Caenorhabditis elegans: one gene and its partners. The protein of the gene in region 2 purifies or fractionates together with the protein of the main gene of each other region. This does not show direct contact. Each region holds a gene or a part of one and is shown on either strand. Other genes may lie near its edges.

What was found.
Region 1: the proteins of snr-7 (region 2) and rpb-11 fractionate together in Caenorhabditis elegans (co-fractionation; one large-scale study listed by BioGRID). This does not show direct contact.
Region 3: the proteins of snr-7 (region 2) and mrpl-55 fractionate together in Caenorhabditis elegans (co-fractionation; one large-scale study listed by BioGRID). This does not show direct contact.

Annotation. Positions count from the first base shown.
Region 1 is NC_003280.10:14,055,748-14,063,506, forward strand, and holds rpb-11 (putative DNA-directed RNA polymerase II subunit RPB11), read left to right. Parts: upstream 1-4,337; 5' UTR 4,338-4,342; coding exon 4,343-4,417; intron 4,418-4,465; coding exon 4,466-4,530; intron 4,531-4,585; coding exon 4,586-4,814; 3' UTR 4,815-4,877; downstream 4,878-7,759. Other genes in the region: W01G7.4 (putative RNA polymerase II nuclear localization protein SLC7A6OS), read left to right, coding at 4,992-5,285, 5,338-5,628, 5,702-5,802, 6,662-6,731; lem-2 (LEM protein 2), read left to right, coding at 7,708-7,759. UniProt on the Caenorhabditis elegans protein: DNA-dependent RNA polymerase catalyzes the transcription of DNA into RNA using the four ribonucleoside triphosphates as substrates. Component of RNA polymerase II which synthesizes mRNA precursors and many functional non-coding RNAs.
Region 2 is NC_003279.8:2,722,932-2,730,491, forward strand, and holds snr-7 (putative small nuclear ribonucleoprotein G), read left to right. Parts: upstream 1-4,082; 5' UTR 4,083-4,086; coding exon 4,087-4,215; intron 4,216-4,268; coding exon 4,269-4,373; 3' UTR 4,374-4,451; downstream 4,452-7,560. Other genes in the region: Y71F9B.6 (Cyclin N-terminal domain-containing protein), read right to left, coding at 796-1,236, 2,296-2,470, 2,827-2,976, 3,055-3,139, 3,208-3,335, 3,387-3,544, 3,598-3,720; yop-1 (Receptor expression-enhancing protein), read left to right, coding at 7,079-7,305. UniProt on the Caenorhabditis elegans protein: Plays a role in pre-mRNA splicing as a core component of the spliceosomal U1, U2, U4 and U5 small nuclear ribonucleoproteins (snRNPs), the building blocks of the spliceosome.
Region 3 is NC_003282.8:439,511-447,776, forward strand, and holds mrpl-55 (39S ribosomal protein L55, mitochondrial), read left to right. Parts: upstream 1-4,474; coding exon 4,475-4,547; intron 4,548-4,762; coding exon 4,763-4,890; intron 4,891-4,964; coding exon 4,965-5,060; intron 5,061-5,105; coding exon 5,106-5,186; 3' UTR 5,187-5,276; downstream 5,277-8,266. Other genes in the region: hum-8 (Myosin motor domain-containing protein), read right to left, coding at 1-214, 833-1,034; dpm-1 (Dolichol-phosphate mannosyltransferase subunit 1), read left to right, coding at 6,173-6,523, 8,128-8,266.

The DNA of each region.
Region 1 (7,759 bases), on a different chromosome or scaffold from region 2:
GAAAATTTACAGAAAAAAAAATTGAAGTGGCACAGTGATTTGAAAATTTTCGAGCATTGAAATTAAGGTCTTGGGACGAAAACTTTTATATTTCAACATCATATAACTTGTGCTCTTCTTATCGTTTCTCCTTATCGCTGAAAATTTTTGCCGTAAAGCTTAATGTTAGCATTGTCAGCGTCCAAATCGAAAAGTGAGTCACTATTGAACAAGTGATTCCGGAGTAAATACTTATCACCAAAAAACTGGAAATTTTAAACTGAGCCCAAACATGGAGCAATATGGAGCAAATGGAGAAAAAAATTTTCTCTAAACAAAATTTTTTTTCGAATTTTTCGAATTTTCAAAAATGTCTTAAACCACAAAAAATCAATTCGCTCGCTTCTAATAGAGGTAGATCAAAACTTTTGATTGGTTGATCTTTTCCCGGGTTACTGTAGCGCATGACCGGAAGCCTCTCGAAAAGCAACACAAAAACGCCGCCACGAAAAGGAGAGAAACAAACAGAAAATGGGCAGCAGCAAACTCTACCAGGTCCTCGTTTTTTGAGTGCAGGAATTTAAATATCCAGCAAATCGGCAAATTGCAGGAATTCAAATTTCCGGCTAATCGGTAAATTGCCGGAATTAAACATTTCTGGCAAATCGGCAAATTGCCGGAATTGAAATTTCCGGCAAATCGGCAAATTGCCAGAATTGAACCATTCCGGCAAATCGGCAAATTGCCGGAATTGAAATTTCCGGCAAATCGGCAAATTGCAAGAATTGAAAATTTCCGGCAAATCGGCAAATTGCCAGAATTGGACCATTCCGGCAAATCGGCAAATTGAAGGGACTGTAATTTCCGGGAAATCACTAAATTGCCGGAATTGAACATTTCCGGCAAATCGGCAAATTTCCGGAATAGAAAGTTTTCATCAAATCGACAAATCGGCAAATTGCCGAATTTTAAATTTTTGGCAAATCGGCAAATTGCAGGAATTGAAATTTCCGGCTAATCGGTAAATTGCCGGAATTTAACATTTCTGGCAAATTGGCAAACTGCCGGAATTGAACATTTCCGGCAAATCGGTAAATCGGCAAATTGCAGGAATTGAAAATTTCCGGCAAATCGGCAATTTTTCGAAAATCAAAATTTCCTGCAAATTGGCAATTTTTCGAAAATCAAAATTTCCTGCAAATCGATAAATTGCCGGAATTGAAATTTCTGGCAAATCGGCAAACCGGCAATTTTTTGCTAAATCCGGGGTACTGTACTTTTTTAGGAAATGGGTTACGGTATTTGATCCTAAAAGCATTGGTGGGATCGGCGTTACTGTAATACATATATAGGAGATGGAATATAGTAGCTGTAGAAGAACTTTTGATAGATTCGGGGACTACAGTAATCCTACAGTACCCTCCACTGAGCACCAAGCCAATACCTTTTCAAAAAACGAAAATTCATGTTTTTCAAAACTACAGTAATCCTACAGTACACGTGCATCGACAAGTCCAAAACCAAATCCAAATTAAATACTATACAGAATTCTTCAAAACAAAACATACAAAGTGAGGTCTAATTTCGATTTCGCCCCCCGTGAGGGCATATCATCTGCAAAACTATATCCAGTTTTACACTTTCTCTCTGAAAAGTAGAAGGTCTTTTTATTACAAAACAGCAGAAAAGTAGCTGTGGTCTATTCTCCTTGAAGGCATCCTTTGGTGACTTCTGACTTTACAACTCGCTAGGTTTCAGAGATATCGAAAAAAGTTAACCTACAAAGTTAAAGAACACATTATTACGTGTGTATTGTTAATTGGTAAATTTTTGGTAATGTCAAAGACAACCGAGATATACTGTCTTAAAGTTGGGACACAATTCTGCAAGTTTTTCAAAACTTTGGCAAGTTTCTAGAAATTTCTAGAACTTTCCAGAATTAATTTCTGAAGTTTTTGAAGCTTTTCAAATTTTTTCAGACTTTTCCAGAATTTTCTAGAATTCTTTAAAAATTTTCAAAATTTTCCCTATTTTTCTCGATTTTTTTAAAAAAGTTTCCACAAAGTTTCCAAAATGTTGGAATTCTAGAAAAAGGAAAACACTATATTTTCCCAGAATTACAGTACCACTACAGCGCTCCTACAGTATCTATACATCACCACTACAGTATTACTACAGTACCCCTATAGTACCCCTTCAACACTACCACAGTAACCCTACAATATTACTACAGTGTTATTACAATACGACTTTAGTACCTCTACAGTACTACTACAATACCCGGACCGTATCCCTCTACAAACCACAAACCAATACCCTTTCAAAAGACGAAAAGTCAATTTTTCTATAACTACAGTAATCCTACAGTACTCCTGTAGTACCTCTACAATACAGTACCCCTACGGTACCATTACAGTACCCCTATAGTTTCTCTACAATACTGCTACAGTACTCTGACCGTATCCCCCTACCAACCCTAAACCGATATCCCTTCAAAAAACAAAGACTCGTTTTTTCCAAAACTACAGTAATCCTACAGTACTCCTACAGTACCACTACGTACTCCCATAGTAATCCTACAATGCCCTACGGTACCGAACTGTACCACTACTGTACCCTAGCACTAACTTCCACTTACCCGAACCCAATTTCCCTTCAAAAATGAAAAACAGGATCTACAAAAATACAGTAATCCTACAGTACTTCTACGGTACCATTACAGTACTCCAATAGTACCTCTACAGTACTACTACAGTACCTTGACCGTATCCCTCTACCAACCCCAAACCAATGTCCCTTAAAAAAACAAAAACTCATTTTTTCCAATACTACAGTAATCCTACAGTACTCCTATAGTAATTTTTTCACCAAAAAAACTATAAATTTTGAAGGAAACCAGTACGAGAAATGGTCACCAAACTGGTTAGTCAAAGTATTTTAAGGCTGAGGAATGGGTTATATCAATCGTGTGCGTGTGTGTGTGTGTGTGTCAACTTAATCGAGAGTAGTAGCTGATTCTATATTTAGTTACTATGTGTACTTGGCCGGTACTATTTTTAGAGTACTAAGGGGGGAGTCGCGGTTTTTTTGCTTTTGTTCAAATGGTTTGTTTGTGTTTTGCGTCTGAATTGCCTACCGTTTAGACTAGCAGGTAGGCTCAGAAAATGACTGCCTGCCTACGCGCCTGCCTACGCGCCTGCCTGCCCACGCGCCTGCCTACCAAACTAGTTCAACTCCTCAAATTTTTATGGTAAAAAACGCAACGATTCTAGCAAAAACACACCAAAACTCGGGGAACCAATCAGCGACGCCTACTGCCTACCTCTGATCGCGCGGGAATTCAAATTTTTGAATGTAGCCTTTGAACTTTTTTCGCCCAAAATACCGACTTTCAACTTCCGGGTAAGCTCTCTATAAATGAAACTGTCTAAACCTACAATTTTATTGACAAGTGCGCACTATTTTTAGGGCTCGGCGAGCCACCACCTGGTCAGACTAAATATTTTTCATTTGGTTTGTTGATTTTTGTCGGGGTTCTCCTCGTTTTTTGTCCCCCATTCAAATGATACTTTAAAGAAACATTTGAAGACGCTTTTTTATGAGGGGACAGCTGCAACTGCAGTTGTGCGGCCGAGCGCGATTGCTACCTCATGTTGAAAAAAACTGCAAACTTCTAAAAAACTCTTTTTTCTTTTTTTAAACTAGTCTTATAATGGCCATATTTTCTCTGTGAATGTTAAATTTTTTGGCCAAATTTGCAAGCGCGCTCTATTGTACTTTAGAAATTCTGAGCTTGAAATACAATTAATATATAATTAACCAGCCGTGGACCGCACCTCCGGCGCGGCCCCCGACTTCTGGGGCTGAAAATTAATTTTTTATGAAACTACCGTAACCCTACAGTATTCCTACCGTACCACTATTGTACCACTACAGTAGCTCGACTATATCCCTACACTAACCCTAACTCACTATCCCTCCAGAAGCCAAAACTTCACAAACAAATAGATAAAGTATATATTGCACGAAAACGTATACAAACATTGAAAATCGGGGGAAAAATTTGTGAAGGAGACAGAGAACGCTCCGACTATTGCTTCTTGCTTCTCAGATTTAATGACATTGCTTTTTTGATTTCGCGGAAATAGCAAATAGTCCATTTTGTGCGGAGTTTGGTGCAATCATCGGGAATTCACATTTGAATCACCGCGCAAAACGAGAATTGCGTCAAGGGCACCGAGAATGCGCTAGCAGTCATCCTTGCGCTATCTTTGATTTTCGAAGTTTGAATTATTTTAATTTTAAAACTATTTTTTAATTTTTCTTTGGATTTCATATTCAATTTTCTAAATTTTCAGCAAAAATGAATGCGCCAGCTGCTTTCGAATCATTTTTGCTTCTCGACGACAAGAAATTCTACATTGAAAAAGACACAAAGGTGAGAAAAATGATACTCAAAACGAAATGATAAAATTAATTTTCCTAGGTTCCAAATGCGGCGATCTTCACAATCATGAAGGAGGATCACACGCTGGGAAATATGCTGAAAATGTTAGAAAACCCGCATAATTTCGAAGATTTTCGATTTAATTCCTCAAATTTCCAGCCAACTTCTCAAGGACCCAGAGGTGCTGTTCGCCGGCTACAAGAACCCTCACCCGTTGGAGCACAAGATCTTGCTCCGAATCCAGACAACCAACAATACGACGCCAGCTGATGCTCTCACAACGGCCATAACCGATTTGGTGGGAGAACTCTCGTTGCTCGAGCATCGAATCGACGCGGCCATCAAAAAGTGCACTCAATCCGGCGACCAGGAGCGTGGATATAACTGATTTTTCACTTTTTCCTTACTGATCTCTTACTCTGAACTTTTATAAATTTTAAATTACGCTTTTTTCGCTTTTTTCTGCGTTTTTTTTCTCGAATTTTCTGGGTTTTTGCCCATTTTTTATTTTTTGAAACACTAAAATTCCCCCAAAAGCGCCCCCATTTCCCTCAATTTCCCTCAGATGACCGCGCCACTAATCCGTGTGAGCCGGAAGCGAACCGCAGATCCCCACGATGCTCTGATTCTGCACACCAAACGTGCAAAACACGGCGGCAATCCGCTGGTTTTCACGCTTTACAAGGCCGCCGGCAACGATCTGGAGCTCAATGGAGCCCGTGTGCTGGATCTTCCAACTCAGGAACATGGGATGGAGTTGGCTGACGAGGAAAATCCACTAGGATTTGTGAAGGATGAAGCCGTCGGGCTCGTTGGAGAGGTCGAGAAGAACGTTAAAAAGCCGGCGGAGCAAGTTTCGGTGAGCGCTGAGCTCACGGAGCCCGTGGAGCGCGCAAAAATTGTATTTCCAGCTCAACGGCCGCCTACTACAGCCCGTCACCGACGGCGGCGGCGCCGCCGCCGGCAGCAGTGACGACGTCGTATACGACTACTACGCGATACACGAGAAACGGGGCAACCCAGAAGTAGTGGGAAACCTGGAGCAGGACATCGAGGGAGCCGATTTTCGGTTCGCCAAGCGTGATGAGCTGGATTTGGGCGACGAAGATGACTCCGATGGGCCGCCGGCTGATGATGAAGACGATTCGAATGATGAGGATAACTGGCGGAATGACTATCCCGATGAGGAATCCTATGATGAGGTTGGAGCTGCTGAATTCTGTGAATTTTCCATTGAAAATCTTCAAATCCCCAGATGAAAATGTTGATTTTCAGGACAGCGACAATGGGGATCCGTACGGAATATCGGAGCCCGACCATTGGCACGCCGGCGAGGAGGCATACTCCGACGAAAGCTTCCACAGACGGCTTCAAAAGTGTGTAAAATTGGATTATTGCGCTGAAATTACGGCTTAAAACCTGGAAATTGAGGCAATTTTCACAAAAATGCTTAAATTTTAGCTAAAAGTATTGAATTTAGCTATTTTTCCTCGTAAATTTCTGAAAAATCGGCTAAAAATTCTATTTTCCTTTTTTTTTTTTGCGAAAAACTCGAAAATTCCGGTTAAAATTGCTCATTTCTCTGGAAAAAAAAGCGGCTTTGATGTATTTTTCCATAATTTGTAGTTGAAACCTGAAAATTTAGCTGAAATTATCTATTTTTCACTGTAAATTTCTGGAAAATCGTCTCTAAAAATCCTATTTCTCCACTAAAATCGCTCATTTCTCTGGAAAAAATGCGGCTTTGATGTAGTTTTTCCATTAAAGTTCTCAAATTTCAGCTAAATGTAGTGAATTTGTGGTTGAAACCTGAAAATTTTTAGTTGAAATTAGCTATTTCTCCCTGTCAATTTCTTAAAAATCGGCTAAAAATTCAATTTTCCCACTAAAATAGCTCATTTCTCTGGAAATAATGCGGTTTTGATCTAGTTTTTCCATTAAATTGCGCAAATTTCAACTGATTTTGCCAATTTTGATGCTAAAAATTGAAAATTTACATGTGAAAGTTTGAAAATTCGGCCACAAAACCCCGGTTTTCCTCCAATTTTTTGAAAATTCCGACTAAAATCGCTTATTTTTACTAACTTTCAAGTAATTTTCATCAATTTAATTATTAAAAACTTGAAAATTAGCTATTTCAACCTGAAAAATTCTGAAAAGTACAACTTTTTGGTGATAAAATGTGGCGGTTTTCAATTTTTAGATGGAAATTCTGAAAATTCTATCATTTTTCAGCATGGACCTGAACGACGAACGCTACGAAGCATTTTATGAGGGTGACGAGACTGACGAAGACGCCGATTAATACTGTTTTTCGCCTTTTTTTTGTTTTTTCAGTGTTCAAGCTTACTTATCAGTAACTCACACACACACATATTTTCAATTTTTCATTCATTTTCATTCATTCATTCACAACTCTGAAATTCGTATCATGAAGACCTTATTTGTGCTATTTCTCGCCTTTTTTCTGCTTGTTGAAGCTTCTTCGGAAAGCGGAAAACGCGACGTTTTTCACAATATTGAGAACTTTTTCAAGTTCCTTTGCGTCGTTTTTCAAGTTTCTCAGGCGTCGGTACAACGTGAGAAATCGAGAAATACCTCGGAAAGCACAAAGAAATTTCAGAAAACGACCGAAATCACGAGAAATCGAATCTTCCAGGCTGATTCATAGCATTGCAAAGCTGAATTACTTGGCTTTCAGCTCATCGGGCAACTGCACTGAGCTTAAATAATTTTTTTTGTTGTAATTTTTAAAAATTTTTCATTCAATAAAAGGTTTTTACTCAATTTTACTGAGCAAAATTTATCGATTTTTTTAAAAATTTGATGAATTTACCCTGAATATTCAAGGAAAAACCTGAAAAATCGAGACTCGCAGAGGATTTCCTCCGCGGAAATTCCGAATATCAGAATTTATTTTCGAGAGACACCACGAACTTGCGACACCACGAAGTTTTTGAAGAAACAGAATCCGCAGGCAAAGTTTTTTGTTTTAGCACATTTTAGGTTTATTTTGGTTTTATTAAAAATTAAAATAACAATTTCTTTTTTAAAAGTTTAGTTTTTTAGAAGTAAATCTTAATTTCCGGTGAGATATTCTGTAGTTTTTGCGTCCATGGTGGTGTTCATCCCGCACCGCCTCCTCGCAAGCGCGCTCCACTGACATTTCCCGCCGCATTTGGTTCAAATTTCACAACCTTCGAAAATTGACGATTTCCTTCGTTTTTCTTCATTTTTTCGCGTTCTTATAAGATTTTTTAATTATTTTTTACTTTCAGAGAATGGTCGACGTTGAGAAAATGTCGGATGCAGAGCTCCGCGCCGAGTTGAACG
Region 2 (7,560 bases):
ACCCTAATTGCTTTACAAATTTCGCGGCGAGACCCATCCTCCTCCAAATGTGGCCTCCCTGTAACCATTTTCAGATTTTTTCTTGAATTTTCCGACAGTTTCTCAAAGTTTAAGCTTTTAAATAATTTTTTAGACGTAATTTATGCTATTTTCTATTTTTCGTTGCATTATGTCGATAATAAACTAAAATTAAAGTTTTTTGGCCTAAAATTCGCTCTAAAAATTTAGATTTTCTCTGGAAAAAAAGATTTTCGATTTAAATCGATTAGAAACTGTTTTAAAAACTTAAAATTGTCTACAGTAACCTTAAAGGCGCATAGCTTAATTGCTCAACGAGATTCGCGGCGAGACCCATCCTCCTCCAAATGTGGCCTCCCTTTAACCATTTTCAGATTTTTTCTTGAATTTTCCGACAGTTTCTCAAAGTTTAAGCTTTTAAATCATTTTTTAGACGTAATTTATGCTATTTTCTATTTTTTGTTGCATTATGTCGATTATAAACTAAGATTAAAGCTTTTTGGGCTAAAAGTCGCTCTAAAAATTTAGATTTTCAATGGAAAAAAAAGATTTTCGATTCAAATCGACTAGAAAATGCATTTAAAAAGTTTGAAAATTGCCTACAGTAACCTTAAAGGCGCATAGCTTAATTGCTAAACGAGATTCGCGGCGAGACCCATCCACCTCCAAATGCGGCCTCCCTTTAACCATTATCAGGTTTTTTCTTCAGATTTTCGCAATTTTTGAGCTTTTTAATCACTTTTTAAGCTTAATCGTTGCAATTTCGTTCTTTCTAACCTTAAGAATAATTTTCTCAAAGTACACATAAGCAGTTGCCACCGTATACACATCAATTCCATTCGAGACCCCAAGTTCTGCCATTTCTCGCTTCAAACTCTTCATTTTGCTCAATGTCAGATGAATCATTGGGTATTTCGCCTCGAAATCCTCATTTATCACTTGTTTCGCCCTCTCCGCCGATTCACAATGAAGTGTGCTTGCCACGCAACACTCGTGACGGATTACAGTCCGTTTTCCGATTCCCAACTCGGAAAATGCGATCGGATCGTACTCATCGATGACTTCTGATGATGGTTCATCTGATCGGCTGGCGTCTAAATCGCATTTTTCATCGATTGAAGTTCCACGTTCATAGCTTGAATCTCGATTTACGGCTTGTGGAACTTCGATGGTTTCCGCAAACATTTCCTCCGAGGTTTCGCCGTTTCGGAAGCTTTCCTGTAAAAATTTTCGATTTTTTATCAACTTTTCACCTAAAATTCACATTTTAAGACTCAAAATCTGCTCAAGTGAACGAAAAATTCCGAAAAAAAGGTTTATTTTAGTGAAAATCTTCAATTTTGCCAGTTTTTAAGTTTCATAAATCCATTATTACAGACCTTAACGGTGGAGTAGCGCCAGTGGGGAAATAGCTTTAAAACACGCCTATGGTACCACAATGACCGAATATCATGATAAAAAATTCAGAAAAATGTTCTAAATTTTATATGATTTTTTGAAAATTGAAAAAATCTCAGTTTTCCCCTAATTCCTATTTGAATTACCGCCATTTGGATTTGTTCGATGGAGCGCGCTTGCACGTTTTTAAATTAATTTATTTTATTTTTTGTTATTTTCCACCGATTTTTAATGTTTTCGGTGTATTTTTGGTGGAATTTTAGAGAAAAAGTCAAAATAAATGCAAATTTTTGATTAAAAAGCAAACAGGCGTAAAAATCAAAAAGTAACGCTTTTAAACGATTTCGAACCTGAATTAATTGATTTCACTGATTTACGCCTGTAAGAGTGCTTTTTAATTGAAAATTTGCAATCATTTTGACTTTTTCTCTAATATTCGAGCAAAAATACACCGAAAACATTAAAAATCGGTGGAAAATAACAAAAAATAAAATAAATAAATTTAAAAACGTGCAAGCGCGCTCAATCGAACAAATCCAATTGGCGGAAATTCGAATAGGAATTAGGCAAAAACTGAGATTTTTTCAATTTTCAAAAAATCATGTAAAATTTAGAACATTTTTCAAAAATTTTTTATCATGATATTCGGCCATTGTGGCCCCATAGGCATGTTTTAAAGCAATTTCCTCACTGGCGCTACTCCATCTTTAAACAGTACGAAAATCAACGATATAAAGTGAAATAAACGAGCAAAATTTGCAAAAATACGAATTTTCGCCTGCTACGACACGAAAAACTCGGTAAAATTGAAGATTTTAGCTAAAATTCGCCTTTTTTCCGCGGATTTTGAATCTTAAAATTCAAAATTCAAAGCCTCACCCTCCGCTCTTTCCTGGAAATCGAGGCGGGCGACTTGTCGAACAGCGTGAAAAACGGCGAAGGATTCCGCTTTCGGCGAATCTGCCCCAGAATTACTTGATCTTCAGCGTCTCGGAAGACAAATGGCCGCAGCTCTTCTGTTGATAAGTGAGCCTGATGCCGCATGCGATCCGAGCTGGAAAATTGGATTATAAGGTGAAATTATGGGAATTTATCGTATTTTTTCAAGATTTTGACCTAAAGGCGCACGGATTTTTAGCAAATTGCAGCGTTTTTTCTTACTTTCTGCTGAAAATTTGCGTTGTTTTCCTTTTTTTCGGTCTGAAAACTGAAAAATTTAACAAAAAAAACTACCACATGCTGTCTTTTCGCGTCGATGCACAGCTGAATAAACCCATGTGCCTTTAAGATCGCATAGCCGAAATTTCTGAATTCCTGCGCTTTTTTTGTGAAATTTTGTTAGATAATTGCCAGTTTTCGGGGAAAATTAGGTAGAAGATATAAATTATAGAGGAGATGTTAATTCTAAACCTTCCAAAAATCGATTTCGATCGGAATTTCTTCTTATTGACGGTTGTGTTGGCGAAAATCGGCGCCAGCGGATCCACGTAGTCGCTGTTCGGCGAGATATACGAGAAAACTGCCAGAGGCTGGCCATTCGTCGAGGTGCAGATGTAAAATCTGAAAATGTGGGTTAGTTCGCAACACGGAACGGTTAGTGTGGGGGATTTTAGAGGATTTTATGATGGTTGAACTCACCTATCTGCATGGGTAATGGTGCTTTTGAGCCTTCTCAGAAAACTGAACTGATTTGAAGAACAAGATGGTGATTCTGAGCGAAATTCTGTGAAAATTTTGAATTAATTTATTTTATTTCAAGTTTTGTAAGCTTTTATAAGCTCGCCAGCTCACCAATCAGCCCACTATCTTCTCTCCCGACGCCTTCTTCAAGAATCGGAGATCTACTGTTTGTGGCGGTCATTGAATAGATCACGTCGTCGGAGCTCATGATTTTCGCGATTCTTCGGAAGATTGAAGTTCTATAAATAGAGAAAATTAATTAATTATATTGATTTTCAACTAATTTTCACTTTTTCTGTGGTGTCTCCGCGTATTCCTGCGGCAAATTCGACGAGCTTAGCCGTTCTCCGAGTGAAGCGGATGTTCCGAGTGAGATCACTGATTCATTGTTGCGGATGGTGGTTGTGGAGCTTGCGCCGTTTGAAAACTTCTTTTCCGTTGGAGATATCTGAAAAAATTATCAATTAGTTACGAAAATCGCTGAAAAACCAAGATTCTCACCTTCGGAAGGCCTTTTGTTTGGAAAATTCGAAGATTTGTGTCATTGTGGCTTCCATCAACACTGATATTTGATAAGAAATTTTGTGCGACGAGAATATGATAGTTACTCTTCTTTTTTACCATCTAAAATTGGAAAAACGAAAAGAAAAAGCTCGGAAATCCGATAAGAATTGTGTGAGTACGGTGTGCAAGCGTCTGCAACTTGTCGTCATTTATGGTGTACCAAGCGTGGTGTTTGCGTACTATTCGAATTTCGAAAAATAATTTCGTCGATTTTAGCCTTTTTCATCCAATTTTCCTGATAATTATCATGTTTATTCTTTGAAAAATTAGTTAAAAAATGTTATAATTAATGTATTATCTGAATTTTCGATAGGTGGAAGTTGAAAAATGAGCTTTATTTTCTATTTTAAGTAAAATCTGTTTCTTTGATGATTTTTCCATTCTTCATTTTCATTTCCCCCTGCAAATTCTCAATTTTTCAGAAAAATGAGTAAGACACATCCACCAGAGCTCAAAAAGTACATGGACAAGGAGATGGACTTGAAGCTCAACGGAAACCGTCGCGTCTCTGGAATCCTCCGCGGTTTCGATCCATTCATGAACATGGTCATCGACGTATGTTTCTTTTTCCGTTTTTGTCTAATTTATTCTAAAATTTAATATTGCAGGAAGCTGTCGAGTACCAAAAGGACGGAGGATCCGTCAACCTCGGCATGACTGTCATTCGCGGAAACTCCGTCGTCATCATGGAGCCCAAGGAGAGAATCTCCTAGATTTTTCGATCTCCACAATTTCCTGTCACTTTCTCAATGTTTTCATTTTCAAATTTTGATATTAAATTTTTGAACCTTTTTTTTGATAATTTTTGATAACTACGTGGTCAAAACCCACTTCTCATCTCTGATTCACGTGAATTTCGTATAGATAAGAACTTCGCAAATAGAATCAATTCACAAACAAATGTACCAAAAGTTATGTTTTATTATTGCAGGCATAAAAAAAATCAATCGTAAAGCTTTTTTTCAGCATTTTGTTTTTCCACGGCTCAAATTGAACGAAATAGTGTTCATTTTGAAGAGAGGCACGAAACAGAGTAACAAAAACACGGAGAGACTTGTGTATCCCTCTTCTCTTTCCACTATGTGCGGTCGACGACGCTCTCCACATTTTTCTCTCTTTATTCTTCTCGTTACTCTTACTCGGCACAACAGCAGCAAAAAAGAATACTCTTTCCCCACTTCTTATCTCTTTTTCTGCCGACCTATTTTCTTCTTTCAAAACAGAAAAATGTTCCACACACACGCCTATCATCATCCGAAAGCTGTACGAGATGTGCTTTCTCATCTTTCCGTACTCTTGTGGCTGCAGCCGTCGAAGAGTTGAAATATCAATTTTCAAAACGCGGCAGATTCTCAGCCGGAATTCAGTGAATTCGCTTGATTTCTCGCCAAAATATAGAAATCAGACGATTTATCTGAAAATAACACCCATTTCAGTTGAAACATGCGAGAAAATGCTGAAAAATAGCCTGAATTTGCTAATTTCAGGCCATTTTTGAGCTCTTCCTCAAGTGTTTCGACTGAAATAAATGTTTGTTTTAGATAAATCAAGTGATTTTCTATAATTTCACATCAATTTTAAATGAATCAACATGTCACAATAGGTCATTTTGAAAAATTGGCGCCAATCCCCAAACCTGATCTGGATTTGAACAAGAGTTTTCTACTTCGATTTCACATTTTGCTGAGAAAAACCGAAAATTATCGATGTTCTCTTTTGAAAATTGAACGCTTTTCAGTGATAATTAGGAAAAATCACCTTTTTTCAAGTCGAATAATTTCAAAAGCTTCAGAAAATCCAATGTTTTGACTCGAATTCAGGAAAAACCGGAAGAAAATCGCGAAATAATATAAAATCCGAATAAAAAAAACGCGATTTTTTTCAATTTTGGCTGAATTCTCCACACTCCAACTGATTGATCGTTCATTTTTTAAAGGAATTTAGCCAAAATTGCAAAATCCCGATTTTAAAAATAAAAAATTAATTCTGTTATGATTCCGCGTTTTTTATTTTGTAATAATTCCCATTTACGCCGTCTTTTAAAAATGCAGACCCACAATTTTTCTGGTGAACATTTCAAATCAATTCAAATTATTTTGATCTGATCTCCGGCGCGAATCACTTGTACTTTGTTCTCTCTCCTCCCGTCTCCTCCGTGGCACTATGTCATTCTGAAGTTGTTTCAATGACAAATCACTCACGCACACACACACACACAATGGATTGTGCCCTTTGTGTTGCCGTTTGACTATCATCGATTGATTCCATTCCCGTTCCGTTTTCGCCGTGCTCTCTCTCTCTGGGTTTTTCGTCTTCTCCCGGGAACACTTGGCCAGTTATCACTCGCTCTTTCTGTCCTCCTCTCAACAGCTATTGGCTACTACTACTACTGCTGCTGCTGCTGATCCGGCTCCGGTTGGCTATAGGCACATTTTGATGCGATTTGTGTGTGTGTGTTCTTTGGAGATTCAATTTGAAGAACTCTTCGCCTTTTTTGTATAAGTTTTCTTTTCGGGGGTGAAAAAATTCGCATCTTTATTCTCTTTAAGGTGGTGTAGTCTAATTTTTTTAAAAATAGCTTTATTAGACTCAAAATTGTCTGAAAACACCGAATTTCATAGTGTAACTTCTCAAAAAAAGTTTATGACGGCTCCAAAATGGCCTAAAATTAGTTAAAATTTGAAATTCGACCAACTTGTCAAGCGGCTGGAAACAAAATCACCGTCAAATTTTGAGTATACAATGTAATTATCTTGCGTTTTTAACTTCATTTAGGTATTTTAAAGTCCATGGACGGCGAGATTTCACAATTTTTTTAACCAAATCTCGCCGTCCATCGACTTTAAAGTACCTAAATCGAGTTGAAAACGCAAGATAATTGGATTGTATACTCAAAATTTTACGGTAATTTCAAAAAAAAGTTTCCAGCCGCTTGACAAGTCGGCCAAATTTAAAATTTTAACAAATTTTTAGACCATTTTTTCAGCCGTCAAAACTTTTTTTTTGAGAAGTTTTCAAGAAGTTTCATTATGAAATTCGGTGTTTTCAGACAATTTTGAGTCTAATAAAGCAATTAAAAAATTCGACTACACCACCACCTCAAAAATTTATAAATTAAATATATTGAGAATATTTTACCTGGGGTTTGGTCCCTAAGCTAGGCTTCTGAGCAAGATAAAAATTGAAAAAGGTGATAAATTCATCACTTTTTTCTCAATTTTTTGGCTCAGAGGACTAGCTTGGGGCCCAAACTGTTCACTTTCTCTCAGAATTCCGAATTTTTGACCCCGGAAACAGAATAAAAATGCACAGCCCTGACTGGTTCACATCATAACTCTTTTTATTTTATCGCTTTTTTGTCTCTTCTTCTTCTCCGCCGCCAAGTCATTCCTCTCAACATCCAATTTTCCAGCGCCCAATGCCTGTCCCACCACAAGTGCAAAAGGTCTTGGACGATGTCGACAAGCAGCTCCACGAGCCGAGCACCGTCACCAACGTGCTGGCGACCGTTGAGCAGAAGACCGGAGTCAAGCGGCTTCATTTGGTGCTCGGCGTCGTCGGTCTTCAGGCTCTCTACCTCATTTTCGGACATTCCGCCCAGCTTGTGTGCAACTTTATGGGATTCGTCTACCCGGCTTACATGAGGTTCGCGAATTTTGCAACAAAGAAAACTGCCGCACAGAAAAAGAGGCGGGGCGTAATTTTGCAACCCTGCGGCACGGATTTTCGCTCTTTTTTGTTGATTTTTTTAAATTCTCATAAGATTGTGAGGACGCTATCAAAATTTATTTATCGATCCTTGCATTTTGCAAAAAGTTTTGTCGCACAGAAAGTGGGGCGGAGCGTGCTTTCGCAACACCGCCGCACGGGGTTTGTCTCCGCCCATTTTCCACAGCTTTT
Region 3 (8,266 bases), on a different chromosome or scaffold from region 2:
TGCATCAGTTGACAATTATCTTCCACGTGTCTTCTTGAGTCATCTTCGCAAGCCAAAACATCTTCAAAAACTCTTGTCACAGTATCACCAGTATTATCCAAAAGGCGAAGTGTGAATCCAGTTGCTGATAAATCAATTATACGGGCGGCACGGAACCCGTCTGTTGCATCTGTTATCCACACTGTTCTTCCATAGTCCGGAGGAGGCTGAGACACTGAAATCATGGAGCGACATTATGGATGGAGGTCTACTGTATTCAGTGTATTCAATGTATTCAATTGATATCTTGCCACGTTTTACTATCAATTGACTAATTATGGAATATTATCCAACAAATATCTACATCATTTTCAATATGCTACTCTTCATTAGCTCAAATATAATGTTGCAAAATATTATTTCAAACTGTAGTTATTATCTCGTTAGAAAAACTGCCACCTACAGTATTCTCAAAAAACAACATTCAGTTAAAAAAAATTAGGTACGATGCAGTTTTTGCATTGATAACTTGATAAAGTTTTTACTCAATTGTGAGGTTTCATTAAAGGTATATTACCGAAATTTTTAAATTTTTAAATGATTCCAAATTTTCCTCTGATTCCAAATTTCTGAAGTAAGTGAAAAAATTCAAAGACCTTTCCCTGATTTCATATTTCAGCTTGAAATCGCGACTTTAATTTGTGCAAGAGTTTTTTCAAACATCGAATTATCGCGAATAATATTTTGTAAGCCTCAAAATGACAAGAGAAGTTGAATAAAAAGTTACGATGTGACCAAGACAAACATTGTGAAAATGAATAAAAAAGTTGAAAACATTGTTTTAAAAACAAACCATTTATTCCAACTTTTTCAGCTCTTCTCTCAGTTTTCTTAGGATCCACAATGTCACGTGGAATTGTTTTCGGCTCAAATGTCCCAATGCCACGTGACTTTTGGGAAGAAGACTGAGCCGATGTTTTCAAAATTTCCGGAGGCGGTTTAGGAGGTTCCGAATTTTCTGTGATTTGATGTTTTTTGTTCAACGTTCGTAGCATTTGTTTTTCTGGAAAAAGTAATTTTTTGTAAGTAAAAAGTTGTCGAAAAAAATTGCAATAAGGACATGATGATGTGAGAATAGGGTGGAAAATTGTGTTCGATGTGTTGACTAACATGTCAAATTTCATGAGAAAATAGTGTGTGATTGGCGAAATCAGACACAAGAGTACACATCAACAGAGGCACCTGCGAGCACCTTCGGTTTCACTGATAAGGAAATTGATAAGACTCACTTTTTGAAAAAAAAAATTGGAATTTAGTTTTTTTGTTGAAATTTTATGGCGAATTTAACATCTTAACCGGGGGTGTGCGGCAGGGGTGTGCGGCAAATCTCAAAATTTGCCGAGCTCGGCAAATTCGGCAAATTCGGCAAATTTGCCGTGCTTAACAAACTCGGATAAATTTGATATTTTTTATGTTTTTTGGAGCACCAAAACTACTGAATTCTTAACACACATCTGGTTTCTGAATAAGTTCCGCGTAGTATGTCTGTTTAAGCATCAAAATAGCTTAATTTTGTGTCATTTTACTAAATTTTTGGCTAAAAAATCAATAGTTTTAGTCAAAATTGTACTGTCAAATTTTTGACGTGTGCGGCAAATTTCGAAATTTGCCGAGCTCGGCAAATTCGGCAAATCTACTTTTTTGAAATTTGCCGTGCTCGGCAAATTCGGCAAATTTGCCGAGCTCGGCAAACGGCAAATTCGGCAAATTCGGCAAATTTGCCGCACACCCCTGGTGTGCGGCAATCTCAAAATTTGCCGTGCTTAACAAAATCCAAAAAATGTGATATTTTTTGCTGTTTTTTGGAGCGCCACAACTACTGAACTCTGAACAAACATTTGGTATCTGAATACCGTATTTCTTCTATTAGTATGACTGCAATGCCATTTTTCGATGGTCTTCCCGCTTGCAATACTAATAGGGAGTGCAATACTAATTTTCAGAACATTTTTTTTGACTTTGAGCTTACTAGTTTTTTCTGAATAAACTCGAATCTTATGTAAAAATTCAGAAAATATGATTTTAATTGTAACATATAAGCTTAAAAATTTCAATCTCAAAAAAATTTCAATTTCAAAAATTTCAATGTTGTGAGAAACTGTTGCAAAATAGGCAAAAAATGTTGTTGAAATCCTCAAATTGGCGAGACGGGTTTGCAATAAAAAAGTAAACGCAAGACTATTAGGGAGTGTAATACTAATTTTCGGAGGGTCTCCGAGGGGTAATACTAATAGGGAGTGCAAGTCTAATAGGGAGACCATACTAATAGAGGAAATACGGTAAGTTCTGTGTCGTGTATCTGTTTAAACATCGAAATAACTTAATTTTGTGTCCTTTTACTACAGTTTTGGGGACGAAATCAATAGTTTCGGTCAAAACTGCAATGTTAAATTTTTGATATGTGCGGCAAATTTCGAAATTTGCTGCTCGGCAAATTCGGCAAATCTTCTTTTTTGAAATTTTCCGTGTTCGGCAAACGGCAAATTCGGCAAATTTGTCGCCCACCGCTGACCTCTCCAGAAGTGTGCGGCAATCTCAAAATTTGCCGAGCTTGGCGAATTCGGCAAGTTCGGCAAATTTGCCGTGCTTAAAAGTGGTGTAGTCTAACTTTTTAAAAATTACTTTATGAGACTAAAAATTGTCTGAAAACGCTGAATTTCATACTGACCCTTCTGTAAAACTTCTCAAAAAAAGTTATGGTCAAAAAAAAGTTAAAAAGTTATAATTTACAAAATCTCTTCGTCCATCGACTTTAAAATACTCAAGTCGAGTTGAAAACGCAAGATTTGAATTAACTGGTATAGCCAGTTGGCCAAATTTACAGTGCACGACAAATTCGGCAAGTTCGGTAAATTTGCCGAGCTTAACAAACTCCTAAAATGTTATATTTTTCAAAGTCTTTAGAGCACCAAAACTACTGAATTCTTAACACACATCTGGTTTCCAAACAAGTTCCGTGTAGTGTGTCTTCTTCAACATCAAAACAGCTCAATTTTGTGCCATTTTACAAAATTTTTGAGGACAAAATCAATAGTTTCGGCTAAAATTGTATTGTCAATTTTTGATGTTTGCGGTAAATTTGGTAAATTTGCCCCACACCCCTGATCCCCACACACTTATTTAACATTTGTGAATAATAGGCGGATCATAGTTGGCCACTTTTTTCAATTTTCCAAAAAAATCGAAAACTTTATTAAAGGTCAAAATTCCCCGATAATTTAGTTACTGTAGCTTCAAAATCCACAAACACCGTGTGCAATAAATACACGTAAATTCACGGAAACTTGCGGGCTTTTAATCAAATGGTAAGCGGAAACTCAACTTTCAATACGGCGTCCTGCGCGTGAAATGCGCTAAATTGGAAGAGGAGACCCAAAAAAACAAAACCTATTCCAACTTTTTATACTGTAGTTTGTCTTCAGTAAGCAGCATCTTGAAAACTATGGAAGATATGAAAAACTTTTCAACTAGAAAACTAAAGTTGATAATGTAGCCAACATTTCTCAGTTAAGAACTTTTTCGTAAGTGAAGCCATTGAGTAGTTACAACAGTGGTAATGTATGCGCAATGGGATTTTATCAAAAACGTAGTACTTGTGTTTTTAAGTGCGTATATCTTTTTAAATAATAAAAGAATTAAAAAAAGTAAAATCAAGAATTGTAGTGTTTTGTATGCTGAGCATTTCTTCGGCTAAAAGTTTTTTGATATCTATGCTCACGAGAGAGCTATGCTCTTTTGGAAAACGTACAAGTTAAATTCCTTGATATAACCTCGCTAGCTGTTATAGATCATAACTCAGTAACCAGTGACGGAATCAAAAAACGCTAAACTAATGAAATGTTCAAAATTGTTCAAATATTATTTTCATAATTGACTGCTTCCTGTTTTATTTCTTATTCGCAAAGTTACGCACGTTTAAATAATATTTATCGTGATTTCTGGTATATTGAACTACAAAAATTAAAATTGTTATTGAAAATCTTATTGAACAATCCATTTTTCATTCAATTTTAATATTTTTTTCAAACGTAAATTAGCAAGAATTTGAAGCTTTGTTCAAAATCTTCCGTTTTTCGCCGCTTTTCACGTTTTGAGCGAAAGAGCGTGCGCAAGTGAGAGGTGAAAGATGACGAGAGCGACTTGCTTGCGCGTTTCACCCGCAGGAGGCCGTGTATAAACTTTATATATACTATAAAGTTTGTTTACCGTTTCGAATCAGTTCCTTTATCTTTTTCAATAATTTCTCGCATTTTTCTCATTTCTTATTTTAATTTTATTTGCATTTGCCGCGTAAGTGACACGAAAAGTGAGCGCCGCAAACGCGCTCCGCTGAGAATTTGTTTGTGCACTCCTCTCGAATAAGTCAAAAATACACGTCTTTATTAAAACTTATTGATTTTTCAGTGTATTCCTGTGATTTTTCTTGAATTTCTAAATGTTTTTGCAGATGAACACTCAAATTTCCATGCGAAACTTGCTAACAAGCTGCTCAAAAGCCATCACAGCAGGTTAGTAAAGGAAAAAGGTCGAAAAATATCATTTGAAGGTTATTTTCAAAAAAAAAACGTGGCAGAACATTTTTCGTACAACATTTTTCATGTGAAAATTGCAATTACTATTATTTCCATTCATTTCTCCTCAAAATCAGACTTTTTATAAACCATTTCCCCCTTCCTCTCCCTAAATCAAAATCACTATTCCCGCGTGAATTTCACATTTTCAGAGAGAAATAATGCGTGGAGAGCAAGTTTGGGAAAAATCAGCCGTCGAGACTACTTGCATCGGTACCAAGTTAAATTTATCCGTCCGGATGGTTCGACAATCATGGTTCCCGCCGCTGAACCGAGACAGGTTGCTTTTTGAAAAATACATATTTAATTGCAGTTTTTATATTTAATCAGTTTTTTAATTGTACATATTTTCAGACATTCCAATCTGCCGTCGACCTCAAACAGTTGAGCGAGGATGAACGACGACAACGGCTGGCTGCTCGTAAACCAAAAGCCAAGATCACAAAAACAGTAATTATATAATTAACGATTTCAAATTAAAAATGGTTTTTTCAGGAAGTTATCGATGACACCTTCGATGAGTCGGAGTATATGAAGTTTTGGTCGGCACCCGGGCAGAAATCCACGAAAAAATAAGAAAAATCTCGTTATTAGCATGTAGTATTTCTTTTTTTTTGTTAGATTTTTTGTTTTCGTTATATTTACTATGAATATCGACTTTATTCTCGATCTGATTAATATTGATTTGTGCGTTTAGTCGCAATTTTATATCAATTATCTCTATTTCACTAGGGAACCCCGTAACAGCTTGGTGGATAGGAAACCAAGAAGTTTGTGGAGGAAAATCGAGTTTCCGGTCGAAATTAGCTTGAAAATACTAATATGCTAAAAACCTCTAAAAACCTCATTTTTCAGCGATAAACGCCGAATTTTCAGCCATTTTCCGAGAAAAACGCGAATTTTCGGGTAAAAAACCCGATCTCAGAACGAATTTGACTTCAAAAATGGAAAAATGCGATAAGAAGCGTGAAGTTTCACTGAAAACTCTTAATTTCAACGTTTTTTACTCAAAAAATCGTATTTCTGGCTCAAAAACAGTGAAATTTATCATTTTTTTTCTGTGAAAAAATCGATTGGGGGGACCAATAAAAGGTACATTTTTGTGACCCACTGACCGAAAATGTACTTTAATCAAAGAATAAGCGCGTAGTAAAGGACCATAATATTTATTAAAGATTGATAATTGAATAAAAATTTAGTTCCAGACGGTGTCACACCGAGAAGGTGGAAAAATGTGATTTTAGCTGAAAATGAGCTTTTTCTAAAACTTTGACCCATAACTTTTTTTTGAGAAAATTTCAAAACTTCTCATTACGAAATTCGGTAGTTTTGAATCATTTGGTTCTAAAAAGCAAAGTCTTAGATTTCGGTACTCCAACTTTAATTTTCAGTGACACTAGTGTTTTTAAGACTTTGAGACCGATTAATTTTGTTTTGATTTCGAGTAGCCAGTATTTAACACAAGCTTCCGATTGGTATACTTTTTGTTTCTCTTATTCACCAAGTTTTTACAGGGATCCCTAGTCAGATTATTCAAAAGGAATTTTATGTTTCAGATTATTATGACATCCACTCCGAAATATTCGATAATTCTGCCAACCTACAACGAAAAAGAAAATTTGCCGATTTGCATTTGGTTAATTGAAAATTATCTGAAAGAAGTTTCACATGAAGTGATTATCGTTGACGATGCATCACCAGACGGTACTCAAGGCATTGCAAAACTTCTTCAAAAGGAGTACGGAGACGATAAGATTCTGATCAAGCCACGAGTTGGAAAACTTGGACTTGGTACAGCCTATTCACATGGATTATCGTTTGCACGTGGAGAATTTATCATTCTTATGGACGCAGATCTTTCTCATCATCCAAAATTCATTCCGGAAATGATTGCGCTTCAACATAAGTATAAGGTATACATTATTCGTACATTTTTTCTAAAAATTGTTAAAAAAACAGAACTTTTTTAAATTTCAAAATTTATAGGTGTACAAATGTTATTTTAGTTAAATAATAGTTAATTTGATGAAAGTTTTCCAATTTGAGAAAAATATGGCAAGAACTTATTATGCAACGTTAAGCATTTAAAATTTATATAGAAATGTAGAACACAGCATGTTCTATCTGAAAATAACATATATTTCTGTTAAAAAATTGAAAAAAGTCCTCAAATAGTACCTGAAAATTGTCGTTTGACGAAAAGGTGCCGTTAAAAGTTTTTTCGGCAAACTGTAACTTTCAGGCACAGTTGGATCAGGGGTGTGCTGATAATATCCGATTCACTATCAGCCGAATTTCTGCCAGTTTAGCTAATTTAAACTTTAAGTTATCCGGTAGCCGATGTTGGCCGATCTTAGCCCAATTTCCCGGTCTGCTAATTTCACTAACACATTTTTTTTTGGAAAAAATGTTGGGGTTTTATATGATTTTTTCTATTTGAACAGTCGTTCATCACTGAATTTGCTAAAAAATAGTGAACATCACCGCAACTTTTTTCGAACGAGGGCCGAGAAAAAATGCGAAAAATCGGTGTTTGCACACAAAACACCGCATTTTACGACATTTTGTACTTGCTTTGTTTTCTCTTGTTTTTCACCAATTTTTCCCGTGTTTTCTTATCAAAACTGATAAATAAATTTTTTTGCTAATGCTAAAATAATTTCCAGATGAAAAAATATGTATTCAGTCGGCAAGTAGCGGTGAAAGTCGTCAATGTAATATGATGGATTACGGGAATACAAAACCCAAACTTTTTCCCAAACATGATACATATGCTGCTCTGATGCTGAAACTACCTGATTTTCATAACGAGACCGCTGAAAAAGTTTTGAGGTTTTCAAAATTCAACTTTTTGTGCGAAAATCTCTACTTTTTCACCAAAAAAGTTGAATTTTGAAAGCCTCAAAACTTTTTCAGTGGTCTCGTTATGAAAATCAGGTAGTTTCAGCATCAGAGCAGCATATGTATCATGTGTGGGAAAAAGTTTGGGTTTTGTGTTCCCGTAATCCATCATATTACATTGACCACTTTCACCGTTACTTACAGACTCAATACACAATTTTTTCACTTGGAAATTGTTTTAGCATCTGCAAAAAATATTTATTTATTAGTATTAATAAGAAAAAATGGGGAAAATTGGTGAAAAACGAAAGAAAACACGCGGAAAACAAAGCAACATAAATGGCCGCTGAAACTTGTCGGGGACTCGGCCATGGCCTAGAAACCTTTTTGCCTCGTCCCTCGTTCGAAAAAAGTTGTAGTGAATAGCCGTTAGCCGGCTTCAAAAAAGTCGGCATTAGCCGATCTATCTGTTAGCCGAAAAAGTCGGTTATCCGCACACCCCTGATTATCATGTTGAAATGCGCCAGTTTTGTGCGTTTGCCGAAAATAATGTCTCACCTAATATCAAGTTTCCGATAATAGAGGACATAATATTACATTTAAAAAACCATCACATTTATATCAACACAATGCCTTTTTTAAGCATAAAAATACAATTTTTTTATTTATTTTTCAGCTCGACATCGTGACAGGAACACGCTACAAGGACGGAGGTGGTGTTAGTGGATGGGATTTGAAGAGGAAGACGATCAGCAAGGGAGCCAATTTTTTGGCTCAGTTTCTGCTGAATCCAGGTGTATCTGATTTAACAGGAT